Linked DNA regions of Saccharomyces cerevisiae S288C. The protein of the gene in region 2 interacts with the protein of the main gene of each other region in a biochemical or structural test. Each region holds a gene or a part of one and is shown on either strand. Other genes may lie near its edges.

Region 1 (4,319 bases), on a different chromosome or scaffold from region 2:
TTTAGATATGAATGCCAAATTAATGTGAATTATTAGGAGGGGAAACTTGGATACGTGAAGTGAACGCATAGATCTTCAAATCGTATAGTTTTTATCATATCACTTTAGACATTGATGGAACTACTCCTCTTACCAATTTCTTAGCCGTCAGCAACGAACTTAAAACGTATTGATTGAACGCCCGTATCATACATAATAAAGAAATACAACTTATTCTCATAAAAAGAAAGTATCAAAAAGGTAGCTTTACCGACACTTTCACTGATCCTTTTTGAAAAATACGGTGAACATTGAGGACTTTATTACATTTTATGTTTATGTTTTGTGAGTAAAGTCAAGAATTTGTCTTCTTGTTAAAACTACAAAAAATAATGTATGCAAAATAGTATAGCAAGATCATTTTAATAATTCAATGTTATAAACGTTAGAGTCAAAAATTTAGTAGCTTAATTACGGAAAGTGGCACCACAATATGTACCAATGCTATTATATGCAAAATATTAAGCAATCTCATCAGATTCATCATCTTCCCATTCAAAAACATCGTTGCCTAGTCGTTCGACCTCCTGCTTTATGACTGACAAACCGCTAATTTCTTCAAGGTAAAGTGGATGCTCCAAGGCCTTTTTAACAAATTCCCAACCTAAGTCTGTAAATGCTTCGATAACTTTAGGGCTACATGCTGGACAATGCTCATAGGCTGGAGTTTCTAATTTTAAGATGGAAAAATTATGCAAAAACCCACGTATTTGATGAGGTATATCCCCTAATACTGTTGTTTCTGAACCAGAGTATTTGGTCTGTAGTAAGGAAGTCATCAATTCAACTGCTAAAGAAGAGGCCATCATAGCAACGCCGGGTCTAGTTACTGTGCACATTTGATCCAAAGTCCTGTCAGTTAAACTGTCAGTTGGTGCTACCACATCATGGCAAAAATAACAGCCCAGTTGTTTTGAAGACTGTTCATCTCTATTACCATGCCTCATAACTAAGTAGCTATCAAACCCCAGAGCAGCATTAATAACGGTTTTGTTTTCGATGTTGCTCAATAACGACGGAAGCCATCTGCTTTCTCGAGAATCCACCAATAAAAAAATGATATCATGCTCTTTTATTAATGCTCTTAATCTATCAAAATCCTTATGCTGAGCCTCCTCGTTTACTAATTTATGACCGATCATAGGAATACTTAATTTCACACCAGTAGCGTCCATTAAAGGAAATATTCTTTTCAAAGACGCAGCCGCAAGTTCTGCCTTTGGCTTTCCACAGTCCTCAAAATTATATAACGCTTGCCTCACTGGATTTGAATATGAAACTGTACCGTTATCCACAAATGTTATTTTTCTAACCCCCCATGCTATCAATGCGCGTGAAACATAACAACCTAGTGTACCAGCACCTAGTAGTAGTACTTTTGTGTTTTTGATGATATCTAGATTTAAGTCAGGAAGAATTCTCCATTTCATTAGCTTCAAATTTAAATCCACGGATTGGTCAGCAATTTTTAAAGGATCTAACAATGAACTTAAATCAACAACACGTGGTGCTAGCTTACCTTGCACATTCCTTTCCCATCCAGAAACTTTCATATCTGGGTTACTTGAGGATGATTGTGGGTCAATAGAAGCAAATGTAGCATTTAATGCAAAGCTACCTTCGTTCTGTCTAATAATTAATAGTTTGAAATCTATCAAGTCAGGAACATCGTATTGCAACACGCTGAGAAAATTTTTGGTTAGAGCAGAAGGGACGTTTTCCATCGTACTAGTGTCCCTTATCGCCAAAACTTTAGTTTTTCGAATAATACACTTGTCATAATTTACTATTTCATCGTCTGCATCCAGTATACACACCCATTTTGAGTAATTGACATCAAACCATTTTTGACACTTTGAGAACAGCCCTTTTAAACTCGGCTCTGGCCGCACATGTAAAACTGTTGAAGAGGGTCTTTGAAAACAGGGAACACCTAACCAGTAATAAAACCTGTACTTTTTTAGGTCAGCAAAACTAATAATCACAAAAGAAACACACTTATTGATATCCTTTATTCCATCTTCCCAGCATTCCAATGCTCTTTGATGTAAAAATAGTTGCTTATCAAGATTCTTAAACTCGTCTAATACATTAAAATTGAAAATACTGCCCTGTAAAGGCACTTCATTAGTACGCTTATTATTGTGTTTTTCAAAGCTTCTATTTGTTAAGAATAATGGAACTTGATCAGCAGATTTAGGAATGTTGTGTAAATCTAGATTCACAGTAAGTGGTTGGCATGTTGAATCTAATTTCAGAACATCGAGTTTCAATCTCGATAATTCTTGGAAAAAAGATGTATCCAGAAATGATTTAAAAGCTGGTGCATAACTTAAGACCCTTTCTGACGACATTTTATTCTTGATTATCTTATATTTGTTGAAATATAATGAACTTTAGTTATCTAAGTAGCATCGTAAAATAATGAGTTCCCTTAATTTTTTTGTTTTGCCGTGCCGGAAAGGGTGTCCAAAGGAATCTCATGGATTAAAAAAGCGGAAGTTTAAAAATCTTGCGTAAGAGCTCTACAAATGAAAAATCTTGCTTGCCTATCTAGTTTTCAACATGTGGTGGCTTGTTCTTCCATAAAGTACATTTTACATCCATATATATGTATATAGATAAACTGAAATGCTAGTGTTTGTTAAGAGTATATACTACTCTCCATTCTTTGGTGTTTTTTTACTGCTGAGATTCAACGGGTGTGTTCTCGACTCCATCTTCTAATGTCATTTCATCTAACTCGTCCAATAATTCATCAATGTTGATTTGTGGAGCGTCTTCATCCTCGTCTTCATCCATTTCATGCTCTTCAGGAGGTACATTTGCTTCGCGGTTTTTGTATAGGTTAACACTTTGTCTTAATTCAGCATCCTCTTCTAATTCTTGTAAGAATAATTCGTAGTCCTTTTCTGCACGTTCCATTTCTTGCTTTTGAGCTCTTGAATTGTAATCTAAGGATGCATCGATATCTTTGTGTTCCTTAGCCATTCTCTTTAACTTCCAGTGTCTGCTCTTTTTGCTCTTTCTTTGATACAATTTCTTCACAAGAACTACATCAGGCACATAATCGATATTTAACCCATCAAAAAGATCTGAGTTGTAATTCGAGTTTGCAATGAAATAACCCATAACACTATCACCTGCATGGCAAATACCACCGAGATGAGACCTGACGTAGTAGACTTGGTCATTAACACCCAAGTCAGACGTTCTAGCAACAGTAATGTCAGCTAAGACACGATTTCCCCTGCTTATACCTGTAGAATCCACGTCCAGAACAATGAACTCCACCAACTGGGTCACATCAGCCAGGGCGTTGAATGGAGCCCTCCAGTACACAGATGGTGACAGATCCGCGGTTTGCAAAGTAGTCGGATCCATAAACTGGACAGTGTTAGAAATCTTAGAACATAGAACAAATTGAGAAATGTTACCCATAGATTTAGCCAGTTTTTTTGGTAAAACGACCAAGTCATCTTTACAGATAGGAACAATCTCGACAGAATATGAAAATTTATAAGTAGATGCACCAGTATGTGTATCTTGAGAAATAAGTTCTTCAGACTTTTTATGTTTAATCGGAACAACAGCGTTCAAAAAATCAATCATCTTAACTGCGTGGTTTTTTTGCGCATAGAAGAAATCCAACCCGTCCTTAGCTTCACTAATGGAAATGGTATCCACATGAGCATTATGTTTCAAAATCAGTTGTTCCAAAAACAAAAATGTTCTCTTGTGAGGCACTTTTTGTCTAATTTGGACAGTAGCCCTCCAAGTATTTGTAGTGTAGGATCTGGCACAGTCTGGACATTGCATCGCAATAACAATGTATTCTACTTCGAAAGTTTGCTGAATAATAGTATTTGTCATGGCTTCTCCCTGCACGGTAAGTTTAATTCTAATACGTCTAGAATGGGGTTCTGTCCAAATGAATGAAGCATCCACTAATCTGACTTTTGTTAGGCCCTTCAAACGACGCAAACAAATGGCCAGTAATTCTCTAGATTCTAATTCTGCTCTGATCCATTGTCCAGGTGGTTGCAAAAATCTTTCACAGTTTCTGCAAAATGAAATGTTCGCTTCTCTTGGAATACCTTGAGTAATGTCCACAGTCAGTTTGATACAGTCATAACACATAACCAGCCCAGTGGACCCATCGATTGGGGTACCACAGTTACAACATAGAAGAGTAGCAGCATTTTGGTGCTGGTGCGGATCTATAGGTGTGAATTCCATCCTTTTGTCAAATTCCTCAACGTTTATTAGACAATAAAATG
Region 2 (10,251 bases):
AGCGAGAGGATCAGCAACAAGTTACATCCACAATAATACGCGGAGTTATGAGATATTACAGTACCCTCCCCAAAAATATAAGGTTTACCGCAAGATCGTATCAGGAGAATGAACGGGTCTCTTAGTTTTTATCCACTATTCTTTCCACTCACGCCAATATACTAACCAATTGAAATGCTCATAACCAGAATGAACAGGCCGCATGCATTCTTTAGCCAACTTTCGATGAAAATACCCACTATGCAATGGTAAATTTCCGAAACAAAAAATTATACTTCAGTGTTCCCACAAAATAACGATATGTTTCTTTTCATTTTTCAATGAAAGCATGATTTTTTCCCTTCCAATGCCAAAATGCTAGTCCTATAAATGAAAAAAAAAGCTTTCTGCTATAAGAACAGCAAGGGGCATTTCAACTTACACATAATAGAAGGTGAGATAAAGACCATCGTGAATCCTAATAGAAACTGCGGGTTTCTTAGGATCATGGGTCGCGCAAAACCGCCAAGTTTACCATCAAAAAGCTACAAAGTTCAATTTACCCAATAGAATTCTAACGCCAAAGATTTGTAGTGATTCATATGAAATTTTCTTTATGCATCCAGTTATTACTATTGAGTTTCTCTCAAGATACATTCTCCAAAAAAAAAGCCTGTTCTCGCACAAACGACCTTAAGAAAGGTTTAAAACAGCTGTCACATTACATTATAGTAGATAAAAACACGAATGGCATTTTCTTAACTTGCAGGTGTACTCTCTATAGCATGTTTAACATATTTTCACCTCTTTATTGCAAACACTTTGGCGTTTCATATTCTGTCCATGTATATGCACCACAATGATTTTATTTTCTTTTGTATGCATTTTGTGACGATTTGACAACTGATGCATCATTTCGTTCCATCTATTTCGCTGTTCATGGCTTCTGTCTCTTTCTCTGTCTTTTTTAGCCATCTCGCAACTAGCTGGGAATGTTCTTTTTTCAGATCCGAGAGTTTTTGTTGTAAAACATTATTTTCAATGGTTCCACTAATCAATTCGTCATTCAACCTTTCCGTATTCTTATTTTTCAACGCAATAACTTCTTTCAATCTTCGTATTTCTTGCTCCTTACTTTTCAGTTCTTTTTGTAGAATTGCCAGTGTATTCAATAAAGCATCGTCATGGCTGACAATGTTGCCACCAATGGCGCCACTATTATCTTGAAACAACTCATTTAAATGGGCCTCCTTGTCGTTTCGATCTGTTAGTCTACGAATTAACAAATCATCCATGCTATCTGTTTGTGGATTGCTTCTTTCCTCCTTTGCTTTCTTCCTTTCTGTTATAATGAAATTGCCCATGGAATATGCGCCCTTAATACAGATTCGCGCAGGTTAATAACAAAAATCAACGTTAAATAAAGGTCAACTACAAACAGAATAAGTAAAAGCGAGCAAGTGTAGTAGCAATTTAGCACAACATATAAAACGCTATTATAATGGATGTTGTGCAGCAGAAACAGGATAAACAGTTGCAGCATCAAACACAAGAGCAGCAGCAGATACGAGAGGACCAGCAGGAAGTCCCACCCCAACGTCCACGACAACAAAACAGATGGAAACCCTGGTGGAATTCCACTGCCGACGATGAGCCAAACACGGGAAGAATTGCAGAATATCCTAATGGACAAGGAAGGAGTAGTCCGACAACGGATTTTCAAGATAGCGTGAACTCGAATAATGACAATAAAGGGATATGGTCTAAAATCGCTTCTTTTGCAACATCCAGATATAGAAGTGCCCCAATTGTTGTTGATGATAATACCCGCTACTCTCAACTAAACACTGAACAAATCAACTTCTTGGAAAATGAGGCTAAGGATATAATTTCAAAAAAGTCGAAATCATGGTGTTGGTACGAAGCAATTCCACATATATCAAATTCATCAAACATAATTGATTCCATAGATACCCCAGGAATAATCAGTGTCTCTGGTACAGGATCAGCCAAATGCCCATTGCCATTAAACAAATATCCTGGGGAGGGAGGTAACCCTGGGTATAATGTATTTATTAATGATTCTTTAATCCTACCATCAGATAACCCTTTGAATTTTCTGCACGTCCAACCACTAAGAACTAAGGTATTGAATACTATCAAAAATTACTATAACTTCCCTAATGAGCAACATCTCTATTTAAGACAAAAAAAAACCGCATTACTGAAGGATAAGAGAATTATTATAATATCCGTCGTGGGGGATTTACCAGAAAAGTATGAGCAGCGCTCATTAGAATCACAAAGATCGGCTTATTATCTTTCTAGAAAATTGTCACAAAATCTAGCGCAAGAACAACCTCAAAGAGTCTTGACCCTATCGTTCCAGTGCCCACTGCATAATCAAGATTTAATACCTACATATAAAGAATGTGTAGAGTTACTGAACCACTGGGCTCATCTTTTCAAAGAGGTAGATTCAATTTTTTTTGTGGGCGTTTATCACAGCGTTCCCTTAACTTTGCTATTAGCGAAATATATCGTGCAAAATAATGAAGTTCTAGAGTTTGATGAAAACACTACAGTGAGTGTATTGAGTTTCCAGTCATGTTTACAAGGCTATCGATTTTGGGACCACAGCACTGACTTTACTAGCAATAGTTATAATAACTTGGGTTCCAATTCCAGTACTAACGAAAATGATAGTAATGATCATGATTCAAATAATGATTTCACAACGAAGAGCCAACAAATCAAAGAAAAACAGTTATTTCAGGGCATTGACAAAAAGCAACAAGACACATTATCTAAAATCAAAAATTATAGGCGGATAGATTCTAGTGAATCTAAACTAGTTCAGGATGCATTGGATTGGCTCTTGTTCAATTGGGATACGTTTCGACTGACATTTTTTGGTAAGCTTTATGATAATTTTATGACAATTTCAGAAAAACTTGCTATAGATTATAATCACCCTAAAATCTTGAGAAATTTATGGTGCAATGGGAAGTACATGGGCATTGATTTAAAGAATGCTAATAATTTAAACCTTGATACCGATGATGAAGCAACTAGTAACATTAATGACGTCCATGTAAGGACCCCTAATTTTGAATCGAGATTGAAGATTCCCACCAACAGACTTTTCGAAATAACCTTATGGGATATTTTGATGATAACGGAGAATTTAGGATATAAACAATTTATTCCCATAATTAATTTACTAAGTCCTTTTTTTATTTCAAGGTCATTTAATGATTACACATTGCCTCCAAATATTAGGAAACAGTACCAGAACAGCAACAAAATCTGGCTTCAAGAAATGGACAGTAAGTGGAAAATGAATGGTCATCAACTCAATTACGACCAAAGGGAGGGTGAAAGTCTCGGTTCATCATCGGAATCATTATTGCCAGAGAATATTTCTACGGTAAAGGATTTTTTGCAGTTTGTGCAGTATCAAAACGAAAAATCTTCGGATTTCGTAAGGATATATTCAGACATTTATGATGACGATAAAGTCTATAAATGCTTTCTGTACAATACAATATTCACGAAAAACCCATTAAGTCGTAAGCATTTACGTTTAAACATCGACCTCGACACTCCTACAAGCATATTGAATACTGTCAATCAATATGATTTGGTATGGAAAATTCATGATTCCTTCTCCAAATTGATTCAATTGAAAAATTTACCGCAGCGAGAGATACCACATGCGTTGAGGCTCTCCATCTCATTAAACTGCTTCTTGGATAGTACCACGAGTACTTCTGGCCCTGTTTTTCAGAGGGACACCGTGGAAGCTTTGAGAAGATTAACAGAGATTTGGCGAACTTACCAGGATTGGTCTCCACCAACAAGGGGTTTGAAACACCTACGTGATATCCTGAGCGTTTTAGCCATGTATGACAACCCCAAAAACTTGATTAATGATGTTCGACGTACATAGTAGATTCGTATATAGCGGACCGCGTAACATATTATGGTATTTGTATAGTGGGTAACCCGCAGAGTAGGCTGGAAAGTATTCGTGAAGAACATAAAGGAAGCTGGCAGAAGTTCTTTTCATACACCTCTACTTCCAGAAGCCATAATAGCAGCAACGCTGTTTCTGCAATATAACTTGTGGAAGGTCTATAATAGGAAGAACATGTCTTTCACTGAGGATCAAGAAAAAATCGCGCTAGAAATACTGTCAAAAGACAAGCATGAGTTTTACGAAATTTTGAAGGTAGATAGGAAAGCCACAGATAGTGAGATCAAGAAGGCATACAGAAAACTAGCAATCAAATTGCATCCTGATAAAAACTCTCATCCAAAAGCGGGAGAAGCTTTCAAAGTAATTAATAGGGCATTTGAAGTACTAAGCAATGAGGAAAAGCGCAGTATTTATGACAGGATAGGTAGGGATCCTGACGATAGACAAATGCCATCCAGAGGTGCTGCTTCAGGGTTCCGAGGAAGTGCAGGTGGGTCTCCAATGGGTGGCGGATTTGAAGACATGTTTTTCAATTCACGTTTCGGTGGTCAAAGAGCTGGACCACCAGAGGACATATTCGACTTTTTGTTCAACGCAGGCGGCAGCCCATTCGGCGCTTCACCATTTGGGCCTTCTGCTTCCACTTTTTCATTTGGAGGCCCCGGTGGTTTCAGAGTTTATACTAATAATCGTGGTGGCTCACCGTTCATGCGTCAACAACCCCGCTCAAGACAGCAGCAACAACAAGCAGAAGAAAATGCAGTGAATTCGCAATTAAAAAATATGCTCGTTCTTTTCATCATCTTTATTGTTCTTCCTATGATTAAAGATTACCTGTTTAGTTAAACACAATATTTTTACTGTCATTTTTTTATTATTTTCCAACGTTAGTCAAAGTTGTACTATAAAATAAAACTACAAGGAGCAAGCAAAATTGAAAAAACGCATTTGTATACTAGATGACATTTAGGTCATTCCTTCAGGCTTCCTGGCTATGTTTTATTTTGTTCCACAGTTTACCAGAAGGACATAATGGTATTAGAATTTTAATATATCGAGGAAATTAAATCAGACAGTATAATACTTATAAACATCTTTATTTTCTGATAACTAATCATAGCATTTACGCCATACATTTACTTTTTCTTTTGACACCGAAAGTAATCAAGCCACTTTTATAATTAGAGTTAGTTTATAGATAGTATTTAAAATTTGTGAAGATTTCCCATGCGTTGTGCCTTGCTTTCTCTCAAAATACATCTTGTTAATTTTCTAATGTGTGGATGCCGAAATAATATTCGACTCAACAAATCAAGTAAGTCTTCTAAGCTCGCTACTAATTTCCAATAAAAGGTATATATATAAAAATGTTCTCAATAATGTAATTAAACAAGATCACGAGAATTACTCCAGATCCTTTAGCCTTGCCTGAATAATCTGGTTCACATCTTCATCTTCCACATTCCTCGATGGAAGCTTCAGTTTCTTCGTCAGTTTAGTAGTTATATTGCCGCCAATACTGTCTTTACTGCTTTGTGTTTTCAAGGATGGTCGCTTGATTAACTTGCCACTAGGTAATACCTCGTATCGTTCAGAGCTCTTTTTAGAAGAGTTTCCAAAGAAATTTTTTTTTGAGGAATGGTCTACATTCCCATTTGACATTGAATATATGCTGCTGTTATGAGTTTTTGCACTTGCACGTGAATTAGTTCTTGGCCTTGAAAGAACTTTGTCTGTGTACCTTGTGAAAGTACTGGGATCTTTATCCCACGTCCATCCTTGCCTCATTTCGCTATAGGCTCCTAGTTCCAGCTTCTTTCTGATATCACTTTTTTGTTCCAGCTCAGCAAAAATATCAGAATCTGATGGCCATATCATAACTTTGAATGTTTTGTAAACTATATCTAAAGTGATAGGTAACAGTGCCAACACCAAGCTAGTACACCAGAATGTAATGTCTTTACCAAAATGATTGTAAAAGCCATATGCTACATCATATATTTGGTCAGTATTATTCAAAATAGGAAGGGCACAACACCACACTAACCAACCTCCACAGGATAGAACTACAGAAGTAAAAGCCAGCCAATTCCTATTGTGCATTTCAACAAATTGGGATTTAACGTTAATTAAGGCAACAATGGCTGTGAAATTGATGAGACCTAGAGGATACATAGTGTTATCTGAAAGAGAACTCATACCCCACATTACAACATTTAAAAATGTAATGATAAGAGAATTCGTAGTTGCCAAGATAACCCACTCCATGAATATTAACCAATTAAAACCTTGTGAAAGGCGCCCGTACGAATATAATTCAGGGACTGTTAGTAGAGTCATTGGTTTCAAGTCTTTCTCAAACATACCAATACATAGAACCGGTAGTGATGTGAATAGAGTATTGAACATGGACAATGACCATGGCTCATATAGAGAGGAGCCTGAAAACATTGTATATCTTTGATATATCAACTGCGTAAAGTAAAACGTAATTTCTTTGTAAAACGTGCAAAGCATAAACTTGGAGGTGCGAATATAGTTATAACGCCCATGAACAAATAACAATTTCAAGAGAAACCGAAATTGGCCAATAGAATAATCAGATACTCTAGATGCTTGCAATCCCTCCTTACCGGCTATTCCAACACCTATATCGGCAGATTGTATCATGGCAATATCATTCGCACCATCACCTATTGCCAACGTGACTAAGTTTGGATCGGTATTTCTTATGTTGGAAACCATAAGGGCTTTTTGAGAAGGTGAAGCACGGCAACATATTACCGAGTCTGTTTTAGTGCAAAGCTCAACAAATACAGACATGTATGTAGGATTTCCTTCAAACATGGCCATCGTGGCACCGTCAATTACAACAACGCAGTGTGCTATGTTTCCGGAATCAACTTCTTGAGAAACCGCATTCATCTTTGATATAATATTTTCATCAGTAGTAGTTAAAATGACTACCGTAGAATAATCTTTGATTAACATACACGAATACCCTATATTTATAGCCGTTTCCCTTTTATCCCCTGTTAGCATCCACATTTTTATACCGGCTCTTCTGATCTTTTCTATAGCTTCTGAAACGCCGTCTTGTAACTTGTCTTCGATTGCAGTTACCCCTAACAGATTTAAACCATCCTCGATTTCTGCACCTGCCTCATCGACTTTGATTTTTCTATCAGTAAGGGAGGTTTTGGCTTGGTGATAGCGTTTATTCCAATTTTCATACTGCCCAATATCGATCCATTTGTAAGCATAGACCAGAGTTCTTAAGCCTTCAGTCGAAAACTCATCGATGGCTTGCAAAGTTCTTTCAATAACATACTCTTCATTCAAAATTAACTCATCGCTTCCAATGTGCTCCAAAATTTCTGTATCGTAATCATGCTGTAGTCCTTCTTTTCTTGTGTCTATTGGGACATTGTTGTTCGGAAAATGTGTTCCATCTATCGAAATTCGCGGCCCATATTTTTCTATTTGTTGCTTATGGAGTGACTTCCTGCTTTTATTTACAACGCTGCCAATCTCCTGATCAGATTTCTTGACCGTTTCTAGAAATTGATCAATGGAGTCAATTTGTTTCTCTGGATCACGGGTCCTGCTGTTCTTCATTGAAAGACTTTTTCTCACTGCCTGCAATGATAAACTTGCTCTCGGTACGCTAGACAAAGAATTTCTCAATGAGGTCCTGGCCATAGCCTCTTCATCTACCATTCTTTCCAGAGACTTTCTTTGCTGGAGAACCAGCTCTGCTTCTGCGTCTTTACGTTCTTTGGTACTGGTGCATATGTCTGCCATTTTTTTGGCAGCCAATTCGCGATCATGTAAACGCTCCATAATAACGTTATCAGCACCTTTGCAAATTAAAAGAACTTGATTTGGTTGATTTGGCATACGTACAAGAACAGACATTCTCTTTCTTTGAGAATTGAAGTCAATATAGTTCAAAATTTCATAATTTTCCAATTTTGCTTCACCGTCAAAACCGTCTGGAAAAGTTTTAATGGTCAAAATCTGTGCATTTCTATTCAATACAATATAACCAAGGTCTCTAGCAGCGGTTACTAGTGCTAATTCATCTGGAGATGAAGACTGATACTCTATGGAGTCTTCTCCTATTGATTCGTTATGAGTTTTTTTGGGAAGACAGCTATGACAAAGAGCTAATGATAAGAAGAAAAATTTAGCCTTTTGAGAAAACAGGGCGGTCGGATATCTTTGAATAAACTGAATTAAATCAAACGAACTTTTAATGTTCTCCGAAAATGTCTCGGAGGGTGAAATAACCGAAGCTTGTTTACTTAGATGTGAATTATCTTTCCCAAAAAGTGATCTCATACTGGGACGGCCTGTATAAATTGCTGATGAATTTCCCTTATATTCAATAGAATTCCTAGATTTAGGAAAGTTGTCCAAAGATGGACGATGCCCTTTTTCAATTGGTGCGTCCGAAAATCCTAACCGATCAAGAACATTTTGATCTCCAATGGAAACAACGTCTATACTAGAGCCGTTGTGAGCTTTTGGTGGTAGTCTCAAGGAGTTCGTATTGTCTCTGTTGTCTTCAAAGTTATCCTCAGAATTACCGAGATCTACATTATGCAGCCAAGATGATCCACATAAAGAAAATTTCCGAAATATCATCTTATTATCCGTCAGCGTTCCGGTTTTATCACTAAAAATATAAGATACTTGCCCCAATTCCTCCAGAATGGTGGCAGTTCTCGATTCGCATGGCGTGTTCGTTTCTGCATGGTACATGTCTATGTCCCATTCCATCATTTTACTTTGGACTACCTTGATAATTTCCATTGTTACATATAGGGACAAAGGAATCACAGTGTTATACATGATGATAAAAGACATTATTGTGGGTGCTACGCCAGCATCTGCCTGAAATAGATACCATGCTTTGTTCTGGTCGATATATTTTTTCTTATGCAAAACATGGCCAAGATAAGAAAATAAAGATATTGTGGCAACGACAAACACCATAAACACGATAATCATATTTATCTTCCTTTGTAGCTTAGGGGCTTTCGTTCTTGGGTTTTTTAAAGCATTCATTCTGATTTTTGTTTCCTCACCACTGAAAATGACCATACCAACAACATTTTGAGTATTCCTCAAAATACTACCACGATAAATGACATTATCAGGACCTAGAGGGTATTTCATTATGGTATCATTGCGATGGTTTTTCAATTCAAGATTACCTTCAAAATTATATAAATCAATATTGGGATCTTCCACGGTAACTTGAGCATTAATATTTGCAAGACCTGATGCGGCTTTGGTTAACTTATTTAATTCTGGATGGGGTTGTTTACTTTTCAAATTTGTTTCGCCATCTAAAGCCATCGTTTCAACGAAACATTCGCTATTTTCGCCGTCACATGTCAATAAAAGCAGATCTGCAGGTACCCAATCATCTTGTGTGAGAAGTACGAAGTCTCCAACACGAAGTTTTTCCCACTTCTTTTGATGAATATGAACATTGTATTTATTCTTGAGTAGTTCAAAGTTATTGAAGTGCGTGTCTAAGAAGTGTCCTTGAGAGGAGTTCCGATCATCGTTTAAAGGTGGATTATTTTCAGCAGCGGCCGATTTAGTTAGATATGCAGTGGATGAGACAACACTACTTGGTAGTGTATAAACTTCTTGTGCGTCATTATTTCCATCTTTAACCAACACTCCCACTGGTTTATTGTTCTCTTCCTTATCTAAACGATGTCTCCTGAAATCGTCCCAAGCCTCTCTTGTCATGGATATACCCATAAATACACATAAGGGGATAATAGTTGTATAAGTACCAGTTGTAGACCATCCAGGTATCATTTGTAATACTGCGACAATGAAAAAATAAGTATTGGCTAACTTTGAAAATTGTGCATACAACTGTCTAGGCAAAAAGGAATAGAATGTATATCTTGATGAAGTTATTCGGTTGTCGCAGTAAGGCTTGTTGAACCTTTCGTCTATCAAATGACCATCCCTTTTAGTAGCAGCTTGTTTGTATTCAATTGCATTATGATCTAATATAATCGGAATATGTCTACCGTCTTTCGAATGGAACGTCCTCCTTCGATCTAGGATAGTATCAAGTATTTTAGTGATAATGCTATATGACACATCAGGACTACCATACTCTTCCATTTCATAATCCTCTTCAGCAGCATAATTGCCGCTTGTTTCATCTCTGTCATCTTTATCGTTATTATCGCTACCGGAGAACGTCTTACTCTCATTTATATCTTCTAACTCTATCTCATCATCAGTTCTTC

What was found.
Region 1: the proteins of ATG16 (region 2) and ATG7 form a complex in vitro, tested with the Saccharomyces cerevisiae proteins (one study listed by BioGRID).

The regions. Positions count from the first base shown.
Region 1 is NC_001140.6:443,787-448,105, reverse strand, and holds ATG7 (Atg7p), read right to left. Parts: upstream 2,394-4,319; coding exon 501-2,393; downstream 1-500. Other genes in the region: ribosome-binding protein NMD3, read right to left, coding at 2,722-4,278. UniProt on the Saccharomyces cerevisiae protein: E1-like activating enzyme involved in the 2 ubiquitin-like systems required for cytoplasm to vacuole transport (Cvt) and autophagy. Activates ATG12 for its conjugation with ATG5 and ATG8 for its conjugation with phosphatidylethanolamine.
Region 2 is NC_001145.3:573,586-583,836, forward strand, and holds ATG16 (Atg16p), read right to left. Parts: upstream 1,344-10,251; coding exon 891-1,343; downstream 1-890. Other genes in the region: CVM1 (Cvm1p), read left to right, coding at 1,481-3,931; type I HSP40 co-chaperone HLJ1, read left to right, coding at 4,133-4,807; aminophospholipid-translocating P4-type ATPase DNF3, read right to left, coding at 5,366-10,251. UniProt on the Saccharomyces cerevisiae protein: Stabilizes the ATG5-ATG12 conjugate and mediates the formation of the 350 kDa complex, which is necessary for autophagy.